3 linked regions of the Arabidopsis thaliana genome follow. The protein of the gene in region 3 interacts with the protein of the main gene of each other region in a pairwise test. Each region holds a gene or a part of one and is shown on either strand. Other genes may lie near its edges. The genes, in order: TRX3, GUN5 and WRKY18.

Region 1 (8,670 bases), on a different chromosome or scaffold from region 3:
CTAAAAACTTTCTTTTCATGTCCAAAATTCTAGCATAGCAGACCTGAAACAGAAATATATTAAAACTTGAAAACGAATGCTCCTTAATCACCCAGCACATAAATTCTTAGTTTACTTTAAGGTGGTCCAACCTTGTACTGCAAATTCAAAACTTCATTCTGACTATTGCTCACTAAGAAAGAAGCTTTATTTATAAAAGCCTCTGCATTTACAGCATCATCATCCTGAAAATTTCAAAACACAAAAGTATTAGAGAACAATAAAAATTTAACTAAATGTATTTATACAACTCTGCTAGCCTCAATTTACTCTCACAAGCAATAAATAAAAAAGTGATGTAGTGAAGCAGAATAATGCTCTTAACAGTCGATATTCCTAATTTCATGACACTTAGATTTGGTCAAGAGACTTAACTTTAAATAAAATCTCTCTAGAAAAATGTCCAAATATTTGAAGATTGAATCAACATTCAACAACGGGTTTCTTTTGTGCTTTTAAGATCTAACTTCTGTAACTGATTGACACGCACCCACAGAAGGAAACAAGACAAACTAGCTATAAATCATTACTGCGATGCGTAAATTCATCTCATAAACAGAGATAACCGATTTACATGCTTAAAAATTAATGAAAAGGACACAGAATCTATTGTGCATATGTACATGAAAGGGAAAGACAAACCTCGAGATACAAACGAGCAATTTGGATACACTTTGAAAGCTTGAAGTTGTCGTCAACGGCCCTAATAAAGAATTCCGCAAATCCAAAATAAGCAACACAAAAGAACATAGAGAGGAAACTAAAACAAAATTCTGCTCAATGCCACACACCTCATTCCAGAATCCAGATCAATTCCACTCAACATCTGTGCTGCTTTTGACCATTCCTGCTCTGATTCATACAAACCCGCAAGTTTTTCTCTGATAACAAGTGCCTGCAAATACACCACAAACAGTTTCATCTCTTAGAATAAAGAGATTGAAAAACAACACAACGTACATTGTCTCAGTTATCCCAAAATACAGCATCCTTAGTAAACAAATATCTCAAATTAGCTTTCAGTGTAGATTTCACATACCAAAGCGGTACAATAGCAAAGCGACTCTACATACCTCTCAACTTATGTTAAGTAGGTAAACTAATTAGGGTTTAAAAAGTACACGATTGCTGCTAAACAGTAAGGTATCACGAAGAGAAAACAAACCTGTTCCTCAAAGGAAACAACTCTAGGCTGAATCTGGGTAAGAGTAAATTGAGCAATCTCCTTCTGCGTCTCCGGTTCTAATCTCCCAAGCTCTTGTGCGAAAGACTGCAAAAGCTGCCTCGAAACCACCAACGGGACATCATCGGAAAGAACTGGAAAAATTGTGAGGAAGCAAAAATCAAAATCAAACCAGAAATTCTGATATAAACCGAATTCCATAAGAACAAAAAGCAGTTGTCGAATCTCTTATGAAGTTGAAACCATGAGAAAGAAGGGAGATGCGAAATTACTGTGATCGATGAATCTCTGAGCTTGGAGAAGATCGTTGGAAGAGAGAACAGAGGAGAGGATGAGTTTGTACTGTTCGATTTTCTGGCGTTGGTCACCGATTGCAGAAGCGTTCGTCAAAGCTTCATCCATGGCTTCTCTTCTGAGATTTTCTCTCCCGCTTCGATTGAAACCCTAAGAAACCTTACAAGGTTTTGATTTCTCTCTCGCTTTTTTTTTTTTTTTTTTTGGAGTTTGCTCTCTTTTTATATTAAAAAAATAAACGGGGACTAGATTCTGTGCCGGTGATCGGAGAGGCGCTTTACAAAATTTACTTAATATGGTCACAACTCATATGAGATTAGTACCCAAAATAAATTAAAATATATATATATATATATTAAGCATAAATACTATATTTTTTTTTGTTAGTTCATAAATTTTATAATTAATTTGTGATGGTAAGTTTACCAAATTGATTGTAGATTAAAAAAAAAAATCAACAAATAATATATTGTTTAGAAATATTTTTATATGTGAGCCTAAATTACTACAGTAAATCTTTTACACAAATAAAAAAACACGTCGTGATTTGGAAAACACGATGATGAGGTATTTTATGATGACAATACCACGTTTAATATTATGATACCAGATCGGAAAAAGATGATATGTTATGTGTTTTAGAGCTTAGGGAGCAATTTAAGATGGAAACGTAAATAATTATTTGTTGAGAAAGAATCGACTAGAAGCAATCGAAAAATTGATCGAATGGTCAAGATATGACCGAGAAGTCATCGGAAAAGTTGTGAGCCCAAATCTTGAGAGCAATGACATGCAAAATGTTTTGAAAGTGCTCTCATGAATTAAAAGTGAAAAAAGAACCACTCTCTCGTTACATAGAGGGTAGTATATAAAGAAATTTACCTATCTCAGACTAGGAAACCAAGTCTCGCATTGGAATACGACTTTGGTTTAAACATGTGAGCTGACTGACAAATCGATTTTATGTGCTTTACAACTTAGATATAACTGAACATATTGGTATTGGATGAGGTTGGACGATAGACTCATAGACACAATCGTTGTCTCGAAAAATCACGAGTTTCTCTCGCTTAAAGGATTTTTTTTGATGAAGTTTATGGTGATCCCGTTCGAGAACATCACAATTGTTTTTGAATCAACTTTACAGATCCATATTGTAACTAATGATTATAGACTACATAGTTTACCAAAATTACATTTACTCAAAAGAACAGATGCGGTTGTTGATGGCAAAACTTTTTTGGAATGGTAGACATCCCATTGAAAGAAAACAAATTGCCATGGTATGGAATTCATGATAATGATTTAACTCGTTATAGTCTGGACAAATTGTCATGGTAGGGTTTCATTGCTCTTTCTTTGGGTAGTTACCTCAAGATATCTCTTTGTTCTTCCTTGTGATAGTTCCACCTTGATATGTACAACCCCACATTAATCTGCTCATTTCAACATTAATTTTCTCTATTGTTTTTAAATTGTGTGTATAAGATTATTTCACTAACTAGGAAAACAATCCATTTCTTTGACACATGGGCTTTACTTAAACAAAAGCCCAATAACTTGTGTTTAGAAGTCACATGATCAAATCTCAAGACCTATTATAAATTAACAAATTTCATATTGATAAATTTTAAAAGATTTCCTATTACAATATTTAAAGTTGCTACAAATTATAGATTCTTTTGATCTTTTCTGATATTGTTTCTCAAATAAAATATAGGAATACCAAATTACAATATGAAAGTTGCTTCAAATTATAGATTCTTTTCTGATTTTGTTTCTCAAATAAAATATAGGACTGAACTACCAAAGGCAATAATATTCAATGTGACCAACAAAAAAAAAATAAAAAATAAAAAGAAATACTCAAATCTCATAACCTTTTTGACTAAATATATCAATTTCTTCTATTTTCAATGAGCATAAATTACACGCGTCCTCAGAAGCTGAATCCGATTTGCAATTCTTCAATCTCAACCGTTAGATCAACAAATCCGGCATCGAATTCCTCCGCGTGGTTTGGTCCATTTTTTTAATTTGAGTATTAATTCTTTTCCTATTTGACAACATGTTTTATTAATTATTATTATTATTCCATTTGCATTAAAATATAATAAAAAGATGTAAGATTCTCTCCGCCTCCTTCTCTCTATAAGAACCGACACAGAGACGAAGAAGAATAATCACTCGAAAACTCATCAAATCAAAAATCAAACACAGAGAAGAGAAAATGGCCGCAGAAGGAGAAGTTATCGCTTGCCACACCGTTGAAGATTGGACCGAGAAGCTCAAAGCCGCCAACGAATCCAAGAAACTGGTAAAAACTCTCGATCTAAGGTTTTAAATGTTTCTTTCTGATTGATTTCGCTGCTTTATCGTTTCTGATCTTGGTCCTTTTGATTAGAATATGACGGATTCAGAATTAGGTTTGAATTGTCCCCAATCGAATTTTTGAGCTCCTTAATGTCAAATTTATGAACCCTAATAGTTTAATTGATTGTTTAGGAACCCAGAATCTCAGAAATTGAAACCCTAAGAACTTGATAGAAGCATCATTGGATAAAAACATGTTATGTGAATCTCTCAACTATGCATATTCAATTTTATGAATCATCTGCTAGAGATCACATGAAAATTGTCTTTAGTGAACCCATTTTGTATCTATGTTTGTATTATTATCCATGTTCTGTGAAGCACATGAAATGCATACATTTGTTATCTTAATGATGAACCGATGTCGTATCTATTGTTTGAATTATCGATCGGTGTAGCTTGTTTTCTTAAATATGGTTGTGTGGAAATGACACAGATTGTGATAGACTTCACTGCAACATGGTGCCCACCTTGCCGTTTCATTGCACCCGTCTTTGCTGACTTAGCCAAGAAGCACCTCGACGTAGTCTTCTTCAAGGTCGATGTTGACGAATTGAACGTGAGTTTCCTTCATCAATCTTACACTATCCCAATATCCAAACTTAGGGATTTTTGACTTCTCTGAGCCTTTATCTTGCTTGTTATGTTGTTGTGCAGACTGTTGCTGAGGAGTTTAAAGTTCAGGCAATGCCAACGTTTATCTTCATGAAAGAAGGAGAGATCAAGGAGACTGTGGTTGGTGCTGCTAAAGAAGAAATCATTGCCAATCTCGAGAAGCACAAGACAGTTGTTGCTGCTGCTTGATTTGCTTTTCTCTCTTACCTATTTTGCTAAAATATGTTTGGTGTTTTAATAAATCCTTTGTTCGCCCGAGTCTTTTCACCTTAAATGTGCTCTTATGTGTGGTGGTGAATAAATGTTGTTGCAAACTTGATTACTCGCAGCTATGCTAATTGTTCGTTCATGGTTATGTTTACTCTTTGGGGATTCTATTGTTATGTTAGTTTTTCAATTTTCAATTACATTACACCAACTAGTTATCAATCCAATTACATTGCCAAATACAATTTCGTTTTGCCTAAACTCTCCATGGTTTTTCACTTCAGAAAGGACAAAAGCACAAGGTGTTAATTCAGACACTGAAACATTTCAGATGTCATTTATACATAATGATCCGTTACAGAAAAAAAAGTGGGAGGCCATGAGGAATTTCAATTAGTATTATCAGTCTTGGGAAATTATATAAACCTCTTTTGTAACTGAAAGGAGAGACATCTTACGGTCGTCATCATTAAACCTTGTCGTCATGGAACCACCACCTTGTCTCTTTAGGAGACCTCCCGTTCTTGCAGTTCTTCACATATCGATCGTTATCAGTCGGGCGTTGCTGATATTGTCATCGACAATAAGACATAGTAAGAGTTGTGTGGCAGGGTCAAAAAGTTTGAATTTGTGACAACAATACAAAGTGTGAGAGATCAAATGTAGAAACCTTTTCGGGGGAACTTGATAGCATTGAGAGGATGCTGATGCAGACTGAACTCACTGTCATTGCTGGAGACCATGAGTCATACAGAATATCTACAAAAAGGAATTAGAGAGTGTGTTATATTAAGCGCATAATCCTAATGGACTTTCTCCTAAAATGAGGCCGGGTATAATCGTGATTATGTATTGTAACAAATGGTTCAGTTCCACCACGATTTCATTAGACCGGATTTAGATGCATTGAGAACAGATTTAAGAAATTTACATAAAACTTTCATGTTCTTATTGTTTAGTGAAAACAGCAAAACTAAAATGTGTTATTTGATTTTAACTCAAATGGGAGTTTCAAGTTATTTGATCAACATTCCAAAGGGAGTTTCAATATAACTAGAAATTGAGAGGCTGTTATAATCATGGATCAGATTCTGATTTTGCTAAAGAATTCACCATAGAGTCCAAAAGGGACGGTATTGGTTTTCTTTATGGCGTTGATAACACATTCACACCTAATTTCATGTCATGCGACGCTAGTATTAGGAACTCTTTAAGAATGAGACAGACTGAGAAAAAGGTTAAGACTGGTAACAATGTTGATATAATATATTAGGACTCTTAAGGGTATTGTTACTAACATTGCTTCTCTTTTCGCTACATTACATTCCGTGAACAAGAACAACCTATATATGTAAGTATCAAACAGATAAACTAATTTGATTGACACACACATGACTTGAGCTAGCATTTCAGAGAAACCAAAAAGTAAGAGCAAATGCAAAGAGTAAGTAGTGTAGAAACAATGAGTAAAATTACCTAAACAAATATGTCCATTGCTGTAAATATGAGGATGTAACGGTGCTGGTGGAACAAAAATCACCTGATCAAAAACCAAACACATGAAAATCAGAACACAGCACAAAACCAAGTAGAGAAAATGTCACTATATCTCAAACTAATTCTCTGACCTAAAACATGCAATACAACCATAAAAACACTCTGGTTTCAGTTAATTAATCCACAATTAAGAAATTTGAAATAAACCCTTAATCAAAAACAACAAATTTTTCAGAACAAAACCAACACAATGAAAAACTTGCCTGAGGAGCTTCCATAGGATAATGTTGAGGAAACTCAACCTGAAGATTATAAGTTTCATTAGCGTAAAGCGTACCAGGTGCTCCTGTTACCTCAATTACCCATCTTTAAATCACACAAAAACAAAAAAAACAATCAAAAATCGAAATGATAAATAATCAAAAAAAGGAAAGATTTTGAAATGAAAATTACTTTTGAAGATTATCAGTAACTCTGTGCTTAAACCCAGTCGGTGGATTTACTTGCCACTCTGATAACTCCTTTTGTAACCTATTACACGCGATCTTGCTTAACGCCTACACAAATCTCAAAAATTCAAAAAATCACAATCGGAGAATCAAAAAACACATAAGAAGACAAGAGTGAGAGAATCTAAGAACCTTGCGTGAAGGAGATGAAGAGCTTGTCATGGCGGAGACAAAGAGAGAGAGAGAGAGAGACGAAGACAGAGAGGTCTTGCTTAAGCTTTTGTCTGGATCTTTCTTCTTCTACTCGAATATTATTATTATTGAAAATGAAATCAAAAAGTGTAAACAAAAGGAAATAAAAATATTTTTCGGGGTGAGGAAAGGGCACACGTGAAAGAGTCAAAATTACAAAATTAACCATTTTCATCGGACGGCTATTAATCTTCCTTCGTGTTCACACGTGTCGTTTATCCTTCACTGACTCCACGGGACATTGAAGAGTCGATTTTATTTATAGATTTTTTTTTGTAACAAAGATTCTCTTACATTGTAGCTACCAAAGTCGTACGATCATAAGTACATAAGTTTTTAAGACAAAGTACATTACATTAAACATACGTCTCCATCTATATAATGTTTCAGCTTTCATTCTATAGTAGGCTTCTAATAGTTTATGGGTCATCATTTGGCCCAACATGAATAGCCACTTCTTGCTCTAGCTCAATACCATCTAGTGGGTCTTGAAGAGGCTCAACGTGAACTACCGTTTCTTGTTGTAGGTCAATACCATCTAATGGACATTGATGAGGTGCAATAATACAATCTTGTGACTCTTGATCTAGCACAATATCATCTTGAAGGTTTTGGTCTTTTCCATCTGATGGGTCATTAAGAGCCCCGATACAGTTTTGTGACTCTTGGTCCGGTCCAAGAACCCGATTGGTTTCTTGTGGGACGAGTTCTTGCTCTAGCTCAATACCATCTAGTGGCTCTTGAAGAGGCTCAACATGAACAACCATTCCTTGTTCAAGCTCAATACCATTTAATGGACCATTAAGAGGCTCAATAGAATTTCCAGACTCTTGATCCGGTCCAAGAACTCGATAGGCTTCTTGTGGGACGAGTTCGAGTCCGGCTGCGAAAAGCGGGAGCAAGACTAGATAATGTTTATGAGAAACGTAAGAGATCGTGGAACCGATGACGTGGACAATGCATAACATCAAAAGATATGCGTTTAATGTGTGCCAATAGAGGCTCCCATCGTTTGTGTAAAGCCAAAACACTCGGCCGCATCTTTGTATTTTCACTTCTTCCTCGATCAAACTTTGGATAAGATCGAGCAAAGTGAAGATTAATGTGTCGCAAGCACATACGATACCGAATATTTTGGCTAGATCTTTCTCCTTGTCGAGTAATTCTAAGACGAAGCAAAGAAACTCAACGAGGAATGCAATAGCAGAATGTGGTCGTAGACTTTGCCTAAAAACAACGAGTTTAATGACGGGAGTTAGGATCGCCATTTTCAAAATTATTACTATGTGATTAGAAAGCTCAAAATATACTATGGTATGAGGAGCTTTGAGTGAAGAACTTCGTACGGGGTGCTTTTTATAAAGACATGAAGTGGTTATTAATGAATGATTAGGGAGACAAAAGTCAAAAGTTAAGCTTGGAAAATTCCGTGCTAATCATAAAGATCTTCACTTTTCATTGCATAGGGAATCAAATAAACGTTTTAATATTTTTATGTTTGAGATCATTGCAAGTAAACTCTAGAGTAATAGATCAACTCTCTAATCATTTTAAGTGTATGATACAACGAATCCTAGCTGTTTGATGATTTACGACGTTCATGATTTCGGCATGTTAATTTTCTTTTTGAAAAAGTTGTCCTAGCTAATTTAATCCTAATCTTATTTTTATTTTTTTACGGTAATTCTATTCTTATTGCGCTAGAAAAAAATCGAAAATATCATTACTTAATTAATTTTATGTTTTTATAATAAAGGTACA
Region 2 (12,395 bases), on a different chromosome or scaffold from region 3:
TGAATCATCCTCTACACTACGTATAACCCACAAATTGATGCTTTTGACAAGACAAACAAACATGGCGCAGCAAGTTTTGTGTTATCGTTCAAACATTAGATAGGATTGTATAATTTACATTCAATAAGAATATTAAAGAGGTATTGAGAATTTCGCACCAAAGTATCATTCTCAGGCTTCTTTGTGAGTTGAGCATCATGATGATGACGATGATGATGAATTGATGATGATCTCTCTTTCAAAGTATTGGATTCACATAAGCTGACAGGACAGCTTAAAGAGATCATGATATTCACAGCTTCAGGTCAATACGCTCCGACCATTCAAATATGCCAGAGTGGACCTGGTCATGTCCTATATCAGACCCGTTACCTCCGGCGGCAACCCTCATGATATCTTCGATCAAAGCAAAGTTTCCCATGATATCAACATGGGCACCACTCTGCGTCCCGCGCCCTTCCAACAGGTTAGCCGGCGGAGAGTGATTGTATTCTCTTATATAAGTCTTGATTCCGGAAGGGTTGAATCTTGTCTTGCCACGCCACGCTTTTGCACACATGTACCCGGCACTTAGGACGGGTACTGTTTCATCCCCATCCACATTGTAAACTCCTGCTTTCAGACAGCTATCTTCGTCCTCCTCGTGAGCAGAAGTGAATATCTGAAAGGGGATGCAACTGTCGGGAGACTGGTTAAGCTTGTATACGTATGCTCGTTCCGTTGGTATCCCCACTCCGTATAATGAGTAGATTTCCATCTCAGGAGCATTCGGTAATCTGAAAAAGCAGAACAAACCAAACGGAGGATTTATAAGCAAGAGTCACATGTATCAACTTTAGCACCTCAATATTACTGAGCAAGCCTTTTTGAGAAAGGCTCAGAAACAGCTTTGTAAGCTTTGAGCTGAAAACCATATCCAACAAGACCGAAAACAAAAAGACTGATAATGCATCAGGACGAAGGATACAGTTGGAATCAAGAAATCACTTACTTTGTCTCTAACGGATTTGACCAGTATTTGGGATCTTGATACTTGGTGTCATCCAAATCATCAGCAATTCCATAAGAGAAATGAGCGGCACCACGCGCCATCATCTTAGGAGCAACATAATGTAGTAGATCTATAGCTTCACCAGCAGTGTAGACCTTATACTCAGCGATAGCTTTGATCCCAGCAATTCCCATGTCATGGTACTCTGTCCACACGTCACGACAGGTGTGATTTGGGATACTCTGACCTTTGACAGCACCCTTCACCAGATAAAATGTACAGATATTCATCATACAATCACAAAATGTACAAGGTTTATTATGATTTATATGTCCTTACTCGAAAATCAATATTATTAATCTCAGATGGCGCAGCCTCTGCTACTTCTTTCCCAAAAGATATCATCCTTCCATAGTTAACAGGACTTTTCTTGGAAACTCCGTTTTCACCTGCTTCACCACAAGTTTCGTTGTTCTTTTGCTTTTTCCCACAACAGGTGTGGCCTTTCTCCGGTGACCAATCAAGCCCGCCCCATATCGTGTCACCTCCCTTCGGTAACATAGACATTGTTGAGTCCCATGTGCGTGTCATTCTCATTACATGCTGCAAGGTCTGAAGTCTAAATATATCGGTGTCTAAGAATCCTGGGGCAATCGCTCTGCAATTTTCGAAGAAAGTAAAGTTCTATATTAAGGAACCAAGTGACTAATAGAGCAACTAATCCAACGAGTCTTTAATTAAGAAGAAATAAAAGACCATAGATGCATATACAAGAAAATTGAAAGAAGCAGAATAACGCTAATTGGTAAAGAATGCAAGCATGGAAGCTCCAGCGCTTTCCATAGCAAAATTCAATGCCCTCCAAAAGACAGTATGACAAATGTTATCGTCGAAGCTAAGAAACTGGTCATCACAGAGCAATGCGTAAGAATTATCAATTCATCATTTGTCTAATCTCAAGAGAGTTTCAGTTACATAAGCAGCAAAAATAATCAACCAATGTCAGTTGCAGCGATAATATAGCAATGTTATTAGAATTGATATTTAGTAGAATAACTTTGAGTTCCAGAGCCAAGGTTCTGATCATCAAAAGTATAAGCAGATATTCAATACCTGGCAACTGCAACATCCTTTGCTTCAGCAGAGAAAAGCCCTGCAACAGCTTTTGGAACACCAAGAAATGGTCCACCAATGTTCATCACCGCCTTAATATACTTTGCACACCAATCTGGCCCACCCCCGCCACCCAGAGGAGCTGGTGCCTCAACCCACTTCATAAAATGTAGAAAATACAAGACCCCCATGGAATGCGGAACTATAACTGCTTTTTTTCCACCGTTGGTAGAAACCATCAACTCTATATTACTTTTCATACGGCTAAGAGTCTGATCACGTACCTATTAATTCAACATGAAACATATTTAAGCCTTAAGTAATGAAGAAAGAAACGTAACATGGAACAGAATAATAGAAAGAACGATGAGAAAAGAACCTCTGTGTTCTGAAACGAAAGCCGCCAGTCATATGCAGCCATGTACATATTTTTCTCTTCATATCCAATATGTGCAAGGTTAGCAATCAGCACTGCCCAGACAAAGTAGCCAGGAGCAAAGTAGTCAGCAGCCACGAGTCCTGATACAGCTCGAACTCTAATACCAGCTGGATCCAACCCAGTTTCATTGTCAAGTGACATGTGTTCCACCCAACATAGAGGCCTGAATCAAAGAGATAATTGATTAGTTAAGATACTATCAACTATACCACTGTTACCATCAACAATAACATTGCCCATCTCTACCATAGCAAAAACATGAACACTGAGCCGAAAGAAGAAGATGCAGATCGTAACAAAGATGCAACCCACAAAACACTTTTTTTTTAATATATCCATAGCAGGGTCGGGAGGAGTTCAAAGCTGGATAACAGAACGAGGATGGACGAAATTCAAGACATGTGAATAAACTCGATGTGAAACTTTGAAATTGAGAAAAAAATTGAGAAAAGCACATTGAGCTGAAAGATCAAAAAGGAACTAGCTTTAATTACACATATACATAGTTGAATAATAAAGCAACAGTCCTCTATCACAGCCTGAACACACTTTCCACAGATGTAGTTAGAACTTCTCTATTCCCAACAAAACATAAAACACTACTTCATTATACGCTACACAAAGCTAAATCTACACGCAACGACAGTAAAGGAAGTAACTTGTTATGAACGGACTCTAGGGCATGTCTAGCAACAGATTTGGCAATAAGATGACTTGAAATTCCAAGGCAGCTATTTTATATCCTAAAGTTAACAATCAAACAGAAATAGTCCAAGCCAATTACGTCCTTGGAACGCTTACCTTACACATACAGAAATAGTCTCTTAAGAAAATAGCGTTTCACATCAAAAAAAAAAAAAAGTAAAGAGTAAGACAGACAAACATGGAATTAAAGTTTGAGTGATGTTGAAGAAGCAACAAGTGCGTGATCTCATCAGATCCAATCCAAATCCCAATATAAAGGAAGAGTGAGAATTGTTGAGCTCACCTTTTGTAGACTTCACCAAAAGTTCCACCCCACAAACGTTTTCTAAATAAACCATCAGCGCATTGTTTGCCTTCCCAAAGCTCGAGCCCACCGGTGACAATCCCAGGAATGAAGACAACAGGATGTTTCGCCTTAAGACCTTCTTTTTTGAGCTTAACACCGGGCGGGTCAGGCAAAGGACCCGTGATTCGCTCCGTTACATACTGAGGGAAGCTCGCAGGCATTGCGTTGTAAAGGAAGAGAAGAAACCACCAGGTTACACACACACACCCAATGAACCAACAACAAGAATCGATGCACGACCACTTCCCTCCTCCGTTCGATTTCTTATGGTGGGATTTGGAAGATTCGTGTGGTTTCTTTTGCGAATCCTCATCGTGCACCACCTCTTCAGATGGCGGCGTCGATGGTTTCTCCGTCGGCTTTTTCCGATGAATAAGGGGCATATCTGTCACTTGAAATTAAACCAGGTTAAGCTATACGGACTTTGTCAAATCTCGTCCAGGAATTTAGAACACAGATTAGGGATTGTTAGATCAGTCGAGAGAGACAAAGAGCTGTTTCTCTGCGAATTTCTGGAACCAATCAAATCAAATTTGTCTCTTTTGTTTATTGTCGACTTTTCTGTTTTTTTCTGTTCTGGTATTATTCCTCCAAGGGACTCGGACCGGATGGCAAAACTTGACCACTTTGCTCCTGGTTCAGGTTGCGGTTCATGGTCAACCTTAGACCCGACCTATCCGTTTCGTTGATTTCATTAATTAGTCTGCGTTTTCTTGGGTGGAGTGCAGACAGATTTTCTTCTGCAGTAGGCGTTAATCCGATAGGCTCTTGTTGGGCCTCAAATAGTTCAGTAAACTTTTCGTGGGGCTTTTAGTATAGCCCATGTATTAATAACAATATTACACTTGGGAAATGACAAAAAAAAAAAAGAGAATGAAGCGGTACTCTTATATCAAAAAAACATATTGTATATCTTCGAATATGATGCAACTCATGCAACAACAATACTAGTAGGCTACATGTATTGCTCCATTTAATTACATATAACTTAATATTCTAATTCATAAACTTTCTTTTAATTATATATTTTATGTAAGTTTTAAATATTGAAAAAAAAAAAAGTTTTAAATATTGAAACATGATAAGTTTTTACATCCATTTATTATAAAAAAAATAGTGATGATGATGATCAAAATTTTGAGTACATTTTAGAGTGTTTTAACTTTTACATTTGTTGTTACAATTGTTATGAGTCTGATATTTCAAATTTCGTTTTCAAAGAAAAATCCTGAGTTTACCTTAAAAGATTAAAGCCAGTTTTTAAGAAATAAGTAGAAAAATATCAAACCAGACCTAGCTGAACCAAAAATTATACAAAATCTAGACCGGATTAAACCGGCTACCCGACGAATATGCCTAGTAAAAGTGTCGTCATCGGAAAAGAATCTTTTACATGGCTGAAACCGCAAATACGATCTTCAAGAGAGCAACATAAAAATACTTGTCAAATAAGTAAAGAAAATAAGACACTCAATATCCACACTCCCAAACCATGAAAATATGAATAGAAATCTCAATGAGCCAATCAGAGGCCAGCAAAGTCCATCTCATTGTCCCAAGCGGATATACATCCGACAAAACTCAACCTCACAAGTAGACTCTCCCTTCTTCCGTAACTATTCGTCCACGTGTCCTTCCCTCTCACCACTTACCTTCAAAACCAACGCTTCTTTTTTAGTTCCTTGGTCCGAAGCGTTTACCGATGAGAGAATCATAAACTCCCACTTGGAGCTCAAAAAGTGTAAGAGACAACCAACAAAAAACGATTCATCTCTTCTCCTATCCTCTCCTCTTCGAATTCAACGTTTGGAGAATCCAGCAGCCGCAAAATGGCTTCGCTTGTGTATTCTCCATTCACTCTATCCACTTCTAAAGCAGAGCATCTCTCTTCGCTCACTAACAGTACCAAACATTCTTTCCTCCGGAAGAAACACAGATCAACCAAACCAGCCAAATCTTTCTTCAAGGTGAAATCTGCTGTATCTGGAAACGGCCTCTTCACACAGACGAACCCGGAGGTCCGTCGTATAGTTCCGATCAAGAGAGACAACGTTCCGACGGTGAAAATCGTCTACGTCGTCCTCGAGGCTCAGTACCAGTCTTCTCTCAGTGAAGCCGTGCAATCTCTCAACAAGACTTCGAGATTCGCATCCTACGAAGTGGTTGGATACTTGGTCGAGGAGCTTAGAGACAAGAACACTTACAACAACTTCTGCGAAGACCTTAAAGACGCCAACATCTTCATTGGTTCTCTGATCTTCGTCGAGGAATTGGCGATTAAAGTTAAGGATGCGGTGGAGAAGGAGAGAGACAGGATGGACGCAGTTCTTGTCTTCCCTTCAATGCCTGAGGTAATGAGACTGAACAAGCTTGGATCTTTTAGTATGTCTCAATTGGGTCAGTCAAAGTCTCCGTTTTTCCAACTCTTCAAGAGGAAGAAACAAGGCTCTGCTGGTTTTGCCGATAGTATGTTGAAGCTTGTTAGGACTTTGCCTAAGGTTTTGAAGTACTTACCTAGTGACAAGGCTCAAGATGCTCGTCTCTACATCTTGAGTTTACAGTTTTGGCTTGGAGGCTCTCCTGATAATCTTCAGAATTTTGTTAAGATGATTTCTGGATCTTATGTTCCGGCTTTGAAAGGTGTCAAAATCGAGTATTCGGATCCGGTTTTGTTCTTGGATACTGGAATTTGGCATCCACTTGCTCCAACCATGTACGATGATGTGAAGGAGTACTGGAACTGGTATGACACTAGAAGGGACACCAATGACTCACTCAAGAGGAAAGATGCAACGGTTGTCGGTTTAGTCTTGCAGAGGAGTCACATTGTGACTGGTGATGATAGTCACTATGTGGCTGTTATCATGGAGCTTGAGGCTAGAGGTGCTAAGGTCGTTCCTATATTCGCAGGAGGGTTGGATTTCTCTGGTCCAGTAGAGAAATATTTCGTAGACCCGGTGTCGAAACAGCCCATCGTAAACTCTGCTGTCTCCTTGACTGGTTTTGCTCTTGTTGGTGGACCTGCAAGGCAGGATCATCCCAGGGCTATCGAAGCCCTGAAAAAGCTCGATGTTCCTTACCTTGTGGCAGTACCACTGGTGTTCCAGACGACAGAGGAATGGCTAAACAGCACACTTGGTCTGCATCCCATCCAGGTGGCTCTGCAGGTTGCCCTCCCTGAGCTTGATGGAGCGATGGAGCCAATCGTTTTCGCTGGTCGTGACCCTAGAACAGGTTAGTCCACTTATGACCATATTGCATTTTTCATGATTGTCATTACGCAAGAGTGGGAATGTTTTCTTATGGAGGTGGTTTACCAATTGCTGCAGGGAAGTCACATGCTCTCCACAAGAGAGTGGAGCAACTCTGCATCAGAGCGATTCGATGGGGTGAGCTCAAAAGAAAAACTAAGGTATTGTATTACCACTCATCCTTAGTGAAATCACATTCCTTCATGACTTTCTCAAGAATGTAATGTATGTTCTCATGAATCAACTCTGGCTCATTGCAGGCAGAGAAGAAGCTGGCAATCACTGTTTTCAGTTTCCCACCTGATAAAGGTAATGTAGGGACTGCAGCTTACCTCAATGTGTTTGCTTCCATCTTCTCGGTGTTAAGAGACCTCAAGAGAGATGGCTACAATGTTGAAGGCCTTCCTGAGAATGCAGAGACTCTTATTGAAGAAATCATTCATGACAAGGAGGCTCAGTTCAGCAGCCCTAACCTCAATGTAGCTTACAAAATGGGAGTCCGTGAGTACCAAGACCTCACTCCTTATGCAAATGCCCTGGAAGAAAACTGGGGGAAACCTCCGGGGAACCTTAACTCAGATGGAGAGAACCTTCTTGTCTATGGAAAAGCGTACGGTAATGTTTTCATCGGAGTGCAACCAACATTTGGGTATGAAGGTGATCCCATGAGGCTGCTTTTCTCCAAGTCAGCAAGTCCTCATCACGGTTTTGCTGCTTACTACTCTTATGTAGAAAAGATCTTCAAAGCTGATGCTGTTCTTCATTTTGGAACACATGGTTCTCTCGAGTTTATGCCCGGGAAGCAAGTGGGAATGAGTGATGCTTGTTTTCCCGACAGTCTTATCGGGAACATTCCCAATGTCTACTATTATGCAGCTAACAATCCCTCTGAAGCTACCATTGCAAAGAGGAGAAGTTATGCCAACACCATCAGTTATTTGACTCCTCCAGCTGAGAATGCTGGTCTATACAAAGGGCTGAAGCAGTTGAGTGAGCTGATATCGTCCTATCAGTCTCTGAAGGACACGGGGAGAGGTCCACAGATCGTCAGTTCCATCATCAGCACAGCTAAGCAATGTAATCTTGATAAGGATGTGGATCTTCCAGATGAAGGCTTGGAGTTGTCACCTAAAGACAGAGATTCTGTGGTTGGGAAAGTTTATTCCAAGATTATGGAGATTGAATCAAGGCTTTTGCCGTGCGGGCTTCACGTCATTGGAGAGCCTCCATCCGCCATGGAAGCTGTGGCCACACTGGTCAACATTGCTGCTCTAGATCGTCCGGAGGATGAGATTTCAGCTCTTCCTTCTATATTAGCTGAGTGTGTTGGAAGGGAGATAGAGGATGTTTACAGAGGAAGCGACAAGGGTATCTTGAGCGATGTAGAGCTTCTCAAAGAGATCACTGATGCCTCACGTGGCGCTGTTTCCGCCTTTGTGGAAAAAACAACAAATAGCAAAGGACAGGTGGTGGATGTGTCTGACAAGCTTACCTCGCTTCTTGGGTTTGGAATCAATGAGCCATGGGTTGAGTATTTGTCCAACACCAAGTTCTACAGGGCGAACAGAGATAAGCTCAGAACAGTGTTTGGTTTCCTTGGAGAGTGCCTGAAGTTGGTGGTCATGGACAACGAACTAGGGAGTCTAATGCAAGCTTTGGAAGGCAAGTACGTCGAGCCTGGCCCCGGAGGTGATCCCATCAGAAACCCAAAGGTCTTACCAACCGGTAAAAACATCCATGCCTTAGATCCTCAGGCTATTCCCACAACAGCAGCAATGGCAAGTGCCAAGATTGTGGTTGAGAGGTTGGTAGAGAGACAGAAGCTCGAAAACGAAGGGAAATATCCCGAGACAATCGCGCTTGTTCTTTGGGGAACTGACAACATCAAAACATATGGGGAGTCTCTTGGGCAGGTTCTTTGGATGATTGGTGTGAGACCAATTGCTGATACTTTTGGAAGAGTGAACCGTGTCGAGCCTGTGAGCTTAGAAGAACTAGGAAGGCCGAGGATCGATGTAGTTGTTAACTGCTCAGGGGTCTTCCGTGATCTCTTTATCAACCAGGTAACCAGATAAAAGCTTTCTCTCTTCTTTCATTTAGATTCTTGTTGGTTGGTCTCTCATGGTGTTTCTTCCTTGAATTATCTTGACAGATGAACCTTCTTGACCGAGCTATCAAGATGGTGGCGGAGCTAGATGAGCCTGTAGAGCAAAATTTTGTAAGGAAACACGCGTTGGAACAAGCAGAGGCGCTTGGCATTGATATTAGAGAGGCAGCGACAAGAGTTTTCTCAAACGCTTCAGGGTCATACTCAGCCAACATCAGTCTTGCTGTTGAAAACTCGTCATGGAACGATGAGAAACAGCTTCAGGACATGTACTTGAGCCGCAAATCGTTTGCGTTTGATAGTGATGCTCCTGGAGCAGGAATGGCTGAGAAGAAGCAGGTCTTTGAGATGGCTCTTAGCACTGCAGAAGTCACCTTCCAGAACCTGGATTCTTCAGAGATTTCTTTGACTGATGTGAGCCACTACTTCGATTCTGACCCTACAAATCTAGTTCAGAGTTTGAGGAAGGATAAGAAGAAACCAAGCTCTTACATTGCTGACACTACAACTGCAAACGCGCAGGTGAGTGAATTTTCTTTGTAGTTCATATATGGGATCAGTTTTACCTTGCAAGAACACATTCCTTAAGGTATTTGTTGAATCTGGCAGGTGAGGACACTATCTGAGACAGTGAGGCTGGACGCAAGAACAAAGCTGCTGAATCCAAAGTGGTACGAAGGAATGATGTCAAGTGGATATGAAGGAGTTCGTGAGATAGAGAAGAGACTGTCCAACACTGTGGGATGGAGTGCAACGTCAGGTCAAGTAGACAATTGGGTCTACGAGGAGGCCAACTCAACTTTCATCCAAGACGAGGAGATGCTGAACCGTCTCATGAACACCAATCCCAACTCCTTCAGGAAAATGCTTCAGACTTTCTTGGAGGCCAATGGTCGTGGCTACTGGGACACTTCCGCTGAAAACATAGAGAAGCTCAAGGAATTGTACTCGCAGGTGGAAGACAAGATCGAAGGGATCGATCGATAAACAATGGGATATAAGCCTTTCTTCTTGTAAATGAACTTAAAACTTTATTTTTGTGTATTACAGTATTCTACCAAACGACATCATCTCTCTGTGAATAAGAGAATGTTTTGGCTGACATTTTCTGACTTTATATGAATGTTGTGGAGCTTCTTCTTTCATCTCCATTTCTTATATCATATTCATATGTGTGGATTTTATATGCGAAGAAAATGAAACTATAGTTAAGTGTAAACAAACTATGGTTGAGTCATGCTTTTGCGCCAAGAAAGGACAATTTGTCTTTATGTGAATTCAAAGTGGAGCGTTTTGGAGAAGCACTAGATCTAAGGTGTTCTCACATGTATATATAAGATGAAGCTATGCTGTGAACGTGGCAAAGGGAAATGAGCAAGAGAGAGATACAATGTAGAAAGCAAGCAAGAGAGAGAGATAGCCATTAAAAAGGTGTAATCTTTGGTTTTTCTCTTGAGAGTGTAACAGAGAAGAGATCTCAAGTGTGAGACTCTTTCTCTGTGGAATTCCCTCTTGTAACTTGCTTATTCTAGTGGATTCCGAGATGTGACTCGGCCCAGACTTTAGCATAAATATTATGTGTGTTCTCTCTTCCTTTCTCACCTTTCTCCTATCAAAGTCTCTGTTCTTTTCTCTGCATATATTATGTTTCATTTCCATGTGTTGGACTCTGTTTTGCATCAAACTACTTCAGTCTTGGTTTGCTAAGGTTTAAGCTCAAGAAAGTCAATAAGTCTTTGAGCCTCTGAAACCAAACAATATGGAACAAAACATCCTTGGAAAAGTTTATTTAAATGACATAGAGAAGAAATTGCTTGGCCATATATGAATAGACCATATAGTATAAATAAAATGCTGTACAACTGGACTCCAAGAAACAATACATAGGAATGTTTAAAACTAGTATCAAGAAGACAGAAAATAAAATAATATGGAAACATGAAAATAGCTAAATATAAGACAGAGTATAAATAGGAATGGATAGGACAATTCAAGAAAAAATAAGAATAGACATTGGTTCATGAATAATTGGGTCTCTTTATAAAGAAAACAATGTCTGTCCAGATTTACATATTCAACATTTCAGTAAATTCCTTTTAATCACTCTTACTTATATCTATCTTTTCATCACTTATCAGTATCACCAGATAATCTCATACCTGCGTTGCAAAGACTAACTAATGGCTTCATCTTCATCTGCAGTAGCCGTGACGCGAGACGAGTTCAATGCTTTCCACAAGTGTGACAGAGCCCTTTTCCGCCGTTTTGTCGTGCGACTAAGGCGAGACATTAATCAGTCTCTCCAGGTCATGAGCTTTCTCCTCTATCTCGAGAAAAGTGGTCTTGTAAGCAACCTAATCGTCAACTTTAATTCTTTACCTGATTTCTTCATCAACACAGTGGCTGACGAAGTTGTTATGTGTCTGAGTTGTTTGTCCTACGAAAATTTCTCTATGTTTGTTGCCAACTTTGGGAAAAAAATCATACCTTTGATCACGCGGATGACTGGAGAGTACCTTACTCTCGCAGTCATCCACCAGAACCGTGAAAGCATTCTTCTTGACATGAAGAAGCATTTAACCAGTATATGTTACCCAGCTTTTGAGGATATATGCGTGCAAGCTGAGAAGGAAAAGGTGATAGAGGATATGAAGCACTTGGGGTTTAGCAAGGCTGTTCATAAAGCTGGATCAAGTAGCCAGTTCTTAAGTGAACAACAAGCAACAACAAGAACAAGCAAGGTTGGTGTATTCTCTGAGGATGAGCAAGCAAGGGAAGACGACAGGACTGTCTTCCTCACATTTTCTAGAGGATACCCGCTTTCTGAAGCTGAAGTGCATGCCTACTTCACCAGGTACTACTAAAACCTTTATATATAAGGCATGCATATACATAGTAGTGGAGTGTTTAAATGGTGTGTGTGTTTGGGTGTTGAAGGAGATTTGGAGAGATTATAGAAGCGATAATCATGCCTGGAGGGGAAGGGAATGAGCAGGCGCTGTATGCAAAGATGGTGTTACATTCTGCAGCCATGATACCGGAGATTGTAAGTGATGGGATCGAAAGGAACAAGTACACCATTAATGGAAAACATGTTTGGGCTCGAAAATACATTCCCAGATCCTCCATTAATAATAATCTTGCCCCATCCTATGGAGTTGCTCTCTAGTTTTTATTGTATCATACTTCTTGTTTGAACTTGAGGAGTTGTGTGTACCTTTATCATTTCTTTTTGGAACTTTATTTGGTGGTATTCGATATTATTGTATGTTGTTGTGTGGATGACTTCTATTTTGCATGGACTTTTTTTTTCGTCACCTTCGAGTACATCTTTCATTTTATTTACCCTTCTTCTCTTTCTTTATGCAATGACTCCTTATTTTACTTGGTGTATATAAGTTTTCATTAGAAAACATTTCTCAATCCTTATTCTCATAGTTCAA
Region 3 (9,243 bases):
TCTTTGTCTGAAACTGTTTCTTTTCTTGTACTTTGGAAGTTTAGTGGTGAAGATGTTCTGAACAACTGTGCGTATGCAGGTGTTGGCCCATCCAGAGGTCCAAATTGGTTTTCATCCTGATGCAGGAGCTTCCTATTATCTTTCACGGCTTCCTGGTTATTTAGGTGAACTTCACCTTAGGCTGATCACTAGATCCATATTCTATGCATATATTTATAGTAAAATGATGGTCAAATTTTAGATTTGAATGTGATTGGTATACAAATACTTAACTGCGATATTTTGGTGTTTCTGAAGCAGTTTTCTGTGTTTTCTTGTTCAGGGGAATACTTGGCTCTAACGGGGCAGAAACTTAATGGTGTCGAAATGATAGCATGTGGCCTTGCCACCCACTATTGCTTAAACGCGGTGTGATGCACTTTTCTTACCTTGTCTCATGTTTTGTTCTTTCCTCTTAAGCACATTCCTTATATAAGTTGTTATGGCAGAGACTTCCGTTGATTGAAGAGAGGATTGGTAAACTGTTGACCGATGATCCTGCTGTCATTGAGGATTCTCTTGCTCAATATGGTGATCTTGTTTACCCTGACAGTAGCAGCGTACTGCACAAGTAAATCATTTACCTTTTCTCCATATCTTCAAATCTCTTTGAATATCCCACAATCATGTAACCCAATATTCTTTGATCAGGATAGAGTTGATTGATAAATATTTTGGGCTTGATACCGTTGAAGAAATCATTGAAGCTATGGTGAGAAAATTTTCCCTAACATAAGCATGATATCTTTCAATTTTGAGGACTTTGGATCGACTTGGCTTGAGAGTTTTGTAAAGTTCTAAGCTTTTATGTTAAACCGTGCCTCAGGAAAATGAAGCTGCTAATTCGTGCAATGAATGGTGCAAGAAAACTCTCAAACAGATCAAAGAAGCTTCACCTTTGAGCTTAAAGATTACTTTGCAATCTGTAAGTCCTTTTAGTTTCTTCTTCTCCTTTCTCAAAAAGGATTTCATTTTTCTGACTCTGGCGGTTTCTTCTCTTCTCAGATACGAGAAGGTAGATTCCAAACCCTTGATCAATGTCTCACACATGAATACCGTATATCCATTTGTGGAGTCTCAAAAGTAGTCTCTGGCGACTTTTGCGAGGTAAAATATTTCACTAATTTGTCAATTAAAGCATCATTTTTTTGCACATATTGAAGTTGTTTTCTGTTGATAGGGTATTCGAGCCCGTTTGGTAGATAAAGACTTTGCTCCAAAGGTGCATACAAACATATCAGCCTCAAAATTAGACGTTTGCAACTCCTTTAGCTTATGTTCATGTTCCAGGTTTTACGTTCTAATTCGTGGTTTGTTAATATTTGCAGTGGGATCCTCCACGCCTAGAAGATGTGAGCAAAGACATGGTGGATTGCTACTTCACGCCAGCCTCAGAGCTCGATGATTCAGATTCTGAGTTGAAGCTGCCAACAGCTCAACGAGAGCCTTATTTTTGAGGAAAAACCTACTGATGACACTCATTACTTGCAATAAAGAATTCCACCGATCTATGCGCAAATGAGATCTCTGCAATGACATTATCCTGTCAAACTCTGTTTTTCTTCATTAGGGAGTGTCAAGTTTTTAACTATCCTGTAGTTTCTTCGTTTTCTGTGAGAGGATTCCATTATAATGTTGAAAGGCCAAAGTGTAGAATTCAGAAGAAGTTTGATTGGATAAAGATACAGTGCAATTCCAAACAGTTACAGTGGCAACTAGTTTAACAAAAAAGTAAACTTCACACAAAAGATCTTCAGAGTTCAGACAAACACTGTAACAGCAAATCTAGGCTCTTCCACTTAATGGATTGAGATAAAAAAATGTTCAAACACTTCTCTTCAGCAATAAATAAGCTTGATTGGATTCAGTACAGTGCAATTCTTACCGTGGATAGTGATTTTCAGGTGGTATGTATAACATTGCACCAAACAGGGGTAGTGGCTACTAGTTTAACTAAAAGTAAACTTCACACAAATGCTTAAGAACTCTTCAGGCAAACACTGTAACAGCAAATCTAAACTCTTCCTCTTCCACTTAAGGATTTTTTCATCTAGAAAAACTGGTGCGGTGTATCGAACATGCTTCATAAGATCTTGGAACAGATCGCTCTGAACATGTGGAAGAGTCTGGGTTGCACCATTCTAGTCCAGACCGAGAAGATTCAGGAACACGCTGGGCAAGCAGGCGGGCTGCGTCTTTCCACCATGAAACCTCGGTTTCTTTCTCTTGTAGTCTGCGTTCAACACGATTCAGAGCAGTCTCAAGCTTCACTAACTCTTCTTGTTGCCTTGTCTCCAGTAGTTCATGCAGCTTTTTGTCTAGTTCGTACGGACACACTCCATATCTTTCATCTGACACCACCATCTCTGGTATATGACTCTTTGTGACCTCATTGTCCTACAAACACAAAAGAACCACAAGTCTGAGAATCAAGAGCCTGTTTCATAATTGCTTAAACAGTTGAAACCCAACTTAAGAAGATAAAAGGGTTTTCTTTGAAGTACTTTAAGTTTGCATTGTCTCTGAATCTGATGCTTTGTTTGTCTATCCTCTGCTTTTTCACCCAGAGGTAACCTACCTACCTCAGCCTGGAGTTTTGAGTTGCAGTCTGTTCCTCGACGATAATCCTCTGGCTCTGAGACCTCGAATTCGGTGTACTCCTCTTGAAGAACACTCGATGATGACTCTTGGAAAATGGATGACGCCAAATTCGAGAATTCTTGAGGAGAAAACTGGAAACCGCTTGCTTCATTTGAAGACATAGGTGTATCCTTCTTCTGTAGTTGTTCTTTTGCATTAAGAAGAAACATCTCCATTTGCATTCGCAGGTTTGTCATCTTATCAAGCTCGGTTTTACTTGCAACAACAAGATAGAGCAAAAAAGAACCAATTCCCACTTCCAAAGGTGACTCTCTGCTTTGTGACTCTGCACAAAGAAAACTAAGTATAAGTCTATAAACATAACCCACCAAAGACAAGTCTTGTTTACCTATAAGAGAAAAAGGGAACTCCTTCAAATTCTAAAGACAATCTTACCGTTCAATGATCATTAGGCTATTTCCAGAGAATTAAAAGTGTATGAAAAAGAAAAACACAAGATTCTCACCAAATGTATTAGTCTCCGGCTCTTTACTCTTATTCAGGCGGCAGTTCTGCTTATTGTCCTGCATTACCAGCTGATTTAAACTCGTCGAACACCTTATAGGCGCTAATTGATACCTTCTGGTGTCATCTTCTTGTTCCTCCCCTGCATCTCTCTTCCCCTTGGAACTTCTCAACCCCGAAAGCCACCGGCCCACGAATCTCCTAGGAGTATAACACTGCACGATAGTGCACCCATCTCCCCTCCTCCGCCGCGAGCCTTCCATTGAAAACCAAGAGAAGACAGAAAACGAATAATCATGGGTTTTTGGGTTTGGAACAAGAGACGAGATTTAAAAGGAAGAAGGCTTCGTAGGAGGGACCAAGATCGGATAGACATTGATAATGGTGGGACGGAGTCGTAACAGAGAGCTATGAACAGATGGGGAGAGGAAATAAATGAGAATCACGAGACTTGCAGAGTGAGTTTATGGAGGGAAACTTTGATTTTTCTCATTTGAATTTTTGCGCTTCTTTTTCCGATCATTGTATTACCAACTTAATACATAATTTACTTGTGTAACACATTATTAAAGAATACTTAAGATACTATTTAGTGATGTCCAATTCTTATTTCTTTCTCAAATGACTCCAAATTTCCAATAAATGAAAGAGACTATTGTGATTGAATATTTATGGTGACCCTTTTTTAACCACATCATTTATTTCAAAATTTTCATATACAGTATTCAGACGACATCTAACTGGTTATATAGAATTCGTACATTTAAAGTTTCTCGAATACTTATACGATTTCTTCATCTACTTATAATATTTATATACATCTTTTATCTCCTAATCGAAAGACACAATTCGAAAACGAAGAATCATTCTAAACAAACAAAAACAATACATTCACTAAAAACGTTCATGTTCTAGATTGCTCCATTAACCTCCCAGATATAGCAGCAGCAAGAGCAGCTGTAAATTTCGAATCTTTTGTTAACGATGACGCCATTTGTTGAATCAGAACCTCTTGCATCGTATTATCCCTTTCGTTTTTCTCCAACGCTAGTCTATGACAGCCATTAACCAGATCCAAAGTCACTGTGCTTGACCCACCCTGGCTTGTAGCATCCCCTTCAGAAGCATTTGGACCCAAGTGGTTATGCGTCCCTTCGTATGTCGCTACAAGTAAAGATGGATCCTCTGCGCTGCGTTGTACCTGAACAGTAATACCACAGATCATTAGACAACTGAAGAAGCAAGCAGAGATAAACAATTACAAATGAAGCTATAAATACAATAAACTCGATGTGTGTAAATTACCTTCTTTTTTACTGGACAAGACGGTGCAAACGAGCATCTAAAGTAAGCTCTAGGTGACGGGTTGTCTCTTGTAACCTTTTGTCCGTATTTCCTCCATTGAAATCCATCTTTAACTGTCTGCAGAGTTACACTCTGCTTAGTCATTTGTCTCTATGCAATTTCAAACATATGACTCTTTAATCAAAAGATTCACAGACAAAATCCCTTACCAAGCTTGTGTCCGATGTTTCAGTAGGCACGTAGACAGTCGAAACTTTTGCTTTGTTGAAGCTATCAGTGACTGGTCTTTTACATGAAAGAAGCTGATTTTTCTGCTCATGTTGCTGATGATGATGATGATGATCTTCGTTGCTGGAGCTGTTCTCAGTTTTTCCACTACTGAGTCCAATAGGAAAGCCTAAGAACTCATCCGGGTCTTGTTTTCTTTTCTTTATCGGTATATCGGTCTGCTCGATTTCAGGGCTCTGGCGACTCTGAAGCTTCTCCAAATGATTATGTAGTTCGTTGTAGCTCTCACAGACTCTAGCTAACATCTCTGTTAGCTTCTTGTTCTCTGAATTAACTCTGTTTAGCTCCTCTCGTAACTCACTTGCGCTCTGTTCATTACCACCACAAAGATCAAATTACTAAAAAGATTCTTCCTTTTTGTTCCAAACAAGATTGATTATGTAAAGTTTCAGACTTTATACTAACTACATCATCACCGATTCATTTCGATGCAAAGACATTCAAACTCAGACCCATCTTAATTGATTCGTAAAGTACTAAAGTGAAGTTAAAGAATTGATAAAAGCTGAATGTTCGAACAAGTATATGAAGTCGAAGGTAGTGCACACCAAGTGTTCGACGAAAGAACTAACCTCGTCTTGCTCCAACCATTTCCTCTTTAAGTGAGTAGAAGCCAAAACTGAGACCTCCTTCTTCTGAAATACGAAAATTTGAAATGAACCCATGATTAATTCCCAAAATCCCAGTTCATAGAAATTGAAGGGATACAAAAATCAACTTAGATTTCGGGAAAATGGATCAGACGAAATCCGGACTTACCGGAAGTTTTGCGGAGAAAGGATTGGTGTTGAGATCGAGAGAGATGTCGAGAAACGAAGAACCGTCCATAAAAGAAACCTTTATCTTAAGATACAAACCAAAGGACTAGTTGGTGCGTAGTCTCAATTTGCTTTCTTCGGTCACAAGTTGGTCCGACTGAATGAGAAGTTCCTCGGAGCAAAATGGCTTTATTTATACTAAAACTACAAAGACAGAGACAAGAAATAAATAATAAATTAGTTTGTTGCGCAGAAATTAAAGTTTATTTAATGTATAACAGATATAAGATTAATATATAAATTTTATCCTAAGGTCAAATTTAAGATTAATAAATTTGTTGTGATTAAGTTTTTAATAAAAGAGCTTTAACGAAAATGAAAAATCATAAATAAATGTTTTATTAATTGTTTAGTGATTAAAATAAGAAAGTTTTTTTAATAAAAGCTGTAAGTACGATAGGAATAAATTAAAGAGATAGGTTTTGGGATATGTTAGGAAGGAAAGTCGTTCGAAAGTGAAGATAACATATAAAAAGCTGTCTTCTATAAAGTCCAGAAGACATTAAAGACTTTGGGAAAAAAAGAAGAAGAAAAAGCACAACAAGACATAGAAAGCTGTCTATTAAAATCACACTGATTGGCTAAAAATATGGGATTGTGTAAAACATTCTGAATTGTGTTATATCTATCGGTATGTATTTTCGTATGCATGGGTTAAATTTACTGTCGTAATCATTCATCTCTATAGTACATGTTAAAAACTAGATCGTTCATTATGGATAGAATTATACATTATAGTCTTGTACGATGAAGGTGACAAATATCGTTTCTAGTAGACTATAGAGGAGATATAGGTGATTATCATAAACATGTTTCCCAAAATAAAATCAATAATATATCCACATTTAGAAATTTGAATACTTTGTTGTATACGAATCGTAATTTATTCTGCTTTAGTCACTGTTAGGTGGTACAATTACAAGTGAAATTACAAGAAATCTCAAATACCGTCCAAAGACTTGAAACGTTCAATTTATAAGTCTCTACCAACTAGAAATAAATGATAAGAAATTAAGAATTAGCTATGCAAAACTTATAAAAGCAAACAAAAAAGAAGCAAGTAGAAGAAAGATCCGAAAAATCAATAATTTCGGCGGGGCAGTGTCCCATGCTGAAGAAAAATTTGGACGTCATACATAAATTTCAATATGTAGGATCTGTGTTCCCTTTATATCCTCTTCTATTTAACAAATTTTTTTTAATTTGTCCAGACTCCAGATCCATAACAATTACGAACTTTCCCTTGACTTGCTTGACCATTGACTCTGATTTGTAGGTCGGCAATTCTTTTTCTATTATATCCTAGTTTCCCTTACTATTTGATTAATAATTCACTGATTGATATTTTACTGTACAATAGGTTTCTGTTTGTTTGTTAAAGTATTCTTTTTAGTACTATACTTGAGTTATATATTTAAATTCATTAACCGTGTGATATTTACTTAAATATTTTATATTTTGAAATAGAATGAGTACTATTTAACAACAAAATATAATGTATTTAATTACTAATTACTACTTTTTTGTCGTTGAGAGATTGTTTTGGGAAAGCGACCAATCACATTGCATGATAAATTTAAGTCGGTACAAAAAAACTTTCTAATCAAGGAAGTGTTAATTAACACAAATTAAATATGAGCCGACAAAAAAAATATAAATAAATTGAGAGAGTGAAACAAAAAACGTGGAAAATTTTTGGGGAGAAGAAGACAAAGAGGGTGGTGAGCCCACACGGGAAAAGGGCAACAAAATCTTGACTGGACTCGACCGCGACTTCCAACTTGTGAGAAGCTTTTATTATGAGGTGTGAACAAGTTGCCACCTTGGGCGGCTCCGACACCGACCTCTATTTTTCTTGTCACTTTTTTTTGTTTGTTTGTTCAAAGTTGTGAATTTAGTGTCATCTTTAATTATTCCGTTTCTTTCAAACTCAATGATACAAATGCTAACCACTATTCCATGAAGATTTACAAAGATCGATTGTTCGATGAGATTCTTAGAATCTAGTTAAAATGAGTTTTGATTTTATTGATGTAAGTTGACAATTTTGATTAAGACGGAATCATATAGTATAAATATTAAAACTTGTTTTCAAACTTATCTGAGTTTTTTTACCGGACCGAAGACCAAATCATATGATTTGTTTTCAAATAAATTCAGGATTTAGTCTGATTCTCATTAAAGTCTTGACTTCGGGTATATTCGGTTTAAGCTAGGTTACTATATGCGGTTTTTGCTCTTCAATACATAATTATTCCATGTGACATTCATTTCAGAGAAGAAGCTTTATGTGATCTTCATGAATTGAATCAACTTGAAAGATCAAATCATAATAATTTTTGAATATAAAATAAAAATTGTTGAAACAAGAGACTTTTGATATCCTTTCCTAACACAAGTTTGCATGCTAACTCTGAACACCATTACACTATACTAGGTATTTATGTTATTAGAAACGAAATTTTTTACAGTGTACTAAATATAAGAACCTTTTTTGACAAAACAAATTCAATTTAGATTGCAAAACCCACATGTTTCCACTTGGTTCGAGTTTAGTAGCAAACTCTTGCTAAAAGAGGTCGAGATACATTGTGAAAACGAACGAACGAACAATCGTTCTAATTGTGGAAGGAATTTTGAGAGATTTGGATGCTGGGAACTACACTATTTCGGAAAGCTCACTTTGTACCCCCTTTTTGTTTCCGAAAACCATTAAAATTTGCGAAACAATCAAGATTAATCTATGTGATATGTATATTAATAAACTAGATTCCCTACTACGTAAAACGTCTGTAATAGGAATGGAAAATTAGTAATGGGGATTCATAAGTGGAATGATCTGTTCCCCGATGTAGACCAAATAGAAATTTCTCATCACTAGAAGTTTGATATTGAAATTTGGACCAAACTTCTTTATCTTTTTACGCCACATTAATCCTATACGTAAAGTGATATAGATCGATGACAGTTGACGAACAATAAAGATATATTGGTCAAGTTGGATATTGTTAACAAGAGATGAATAACAATAATATAATTAGTGAAGAAATGAGTTAGGGCTCATGGAAAAGTTAATTAAACAAATATAACATGGTTGGAAAAATATTTCAGGAAGTGTTTTTAGTTTATTGATCCTATGTGGAGTGATAAGTCTTATCATAAGACCTTATAAGAAAGACGACCAAAGATCTTTCTTAAGTCGTCGTGTAAAACTCTCTCTCGGATATTCTACATGACGACGTCGATACGATGACGTCATTACGATCAGCATCTGAAAGTATCATCATGATACGTTTTTATATTTGTCTCTTTTGTTAATCTGAAAATACGGTTTGTAAGAGCGGTTTACTAAAGAATAATTTAGTTTTCTCATTTGCATATCTCTTCCTATCGGAGAATTAATTTTTATTTTCTTCAAATTTAATCATGAACTCGTATGTGCATAAACTATTCATATAACCGGTTAAATTACTAACTTTACTTGTTCAATTTCTAACTAAAATAAAATTTTGGATAATTATTTAAATCTGTTATGATAGTTTTAGGTCAAATGTTTACGTGAATTTAAAATTTCTAAACATAAGACTTCAGCCGAAAGAATATAATTGCAGAAAAAAAAAAAAATAATCAAAAAATGATTATGACAAAAATAGAAATGAATACAATGCTTGGTAATTAGTGTACGAAA

Evidence for each region.
Region 1: the proteins of WRKY18 (region 3) and TRX3 interact in binary tests that used the Arabidopsis thaliana proteins (3 or more experiments, as listed by UniProt).
Region 2: the proteins of WRKY18 (region 3) and GUN5 interact in a two-hybrid assay, tested with the Arabidopsis thaliana proteins (one study listed by BioGRID).

What each region holds. Positions count from the first base shown.
Region 1 is NC_003076.8:17,239,026-17,247,695, forward strand, and holds TRX3 (thioredoxin 3), read left to right. Parts: upstream 1-3,581; 5' UTR 3,582-3,746; coding exon 3,747-3,833; intron 3,834-4,325; coding exon 4,326-4,448; intron 4,449-4,546; coding exon 4,547-4,693; 3' UTR 4,694-5,180; downstream 5,181-8,670. Other genes in the region: COP8 (Proteasome component (PCI) domain protein), read right to left, coding at 1-43, 132-224, 682-742, 831-934, 1,205-1,356, 1,495-1,624; UBC18 (ubiquitin-conjugating enzyme 18), read right to left, coding at 5,181-5,276, 5,382-5,470, 6,188-6,251, 6,472-6,574, 6,662-6,765, 6,850-6,879; AT5G43000 (uncharacterized protein), read right to left, coding at 7,329-8,177. UniProt on the Arabidopsis thaliana protein: Thiol-disulfide oxidoreductase that possesses disulfide reductase and insulin disulfide bonds reducing activities.
Region 2 is NC_003076.8:4,385,111-4,397,505, reverse strand, and holds GUN5 (magnesium-chelatase subunit chlH, chloroplast, putative / Mg-protoporphyrin IX chelatase, putative (CHLH)), read left to right. Parts: upstream 1-5,076; 5' UTR 5,077-5,423; coding exon 5,424-6,828; intron 6,829-6,923; coding exon 6,924-7,006; intron 7,007-7,105; coding exon 7,106-8,908; intron 8,909-8,997; coding exon 8,998-9,474; coding exon of another isoform or gene 9,475-9,478; intron 9,479-9,561; coding exon 9,562-9,939; 3' UTR 9,940-10,199; downstream 10,200-12,395. Other genes in the region: PDAT (phospholipid:diacylglycerol acyltransferase), read right to left, coding at 293-776, 992-1,251, 1,331-1,649, 2,105-2,388, 2,484-2,706, 3,532-3,977; AT5G13620 (uncharacterized protein), read left to right, coding at 11,133-11,806, 11,890-12,121.
Region 3 is NC_003075.7:15,379,618-15,388,860, reverse strand, and holds WRKY18 (WRKY DNA-binding protein 18), read right to left. Parts: upstream 6,085-9,243; 5' UTR 5,566-6,084; coding exon 5,497-5,565; intron 5,373-5,496; coding exon 5,310-5,372; intron 5,229-5,309; exon of another isoform or gene 5,046-5,228; coding exon 4,659-5,045; intron 4,567-4,658; coding exon 4,450-4,566; coding exon of another isoform or gene 4,369-4,449; exon of another isoform or gene 4,346-4,368; coding exon 4,049-4,345; 3' UTR 3,761-4,048; downstream 1-3,760. Other genes in the region: AT4G31810 (ATP-dependent caseinolytic (Clp) protease/crotonase family protein), read left to right, coding at 80-164, 323-408, 489-610, 691-751, 866-964, 1,045-1,146, 1,220-1,261, 1,368-1,496; AT4G31805 (WRKY family transcription factor), read right to left, coding at 2,086-2,436, 2,544-2,965, 3,146-3,407. UniProt on the Arabidopsis thaliana protein: Transcription factor. Interacts specifically with the W box (5'-(T)TGAC[CT]-3'), a frequently occurring elicitor-responsive cis-acting element. Positively modulates defense-related gene expression and disease resistance.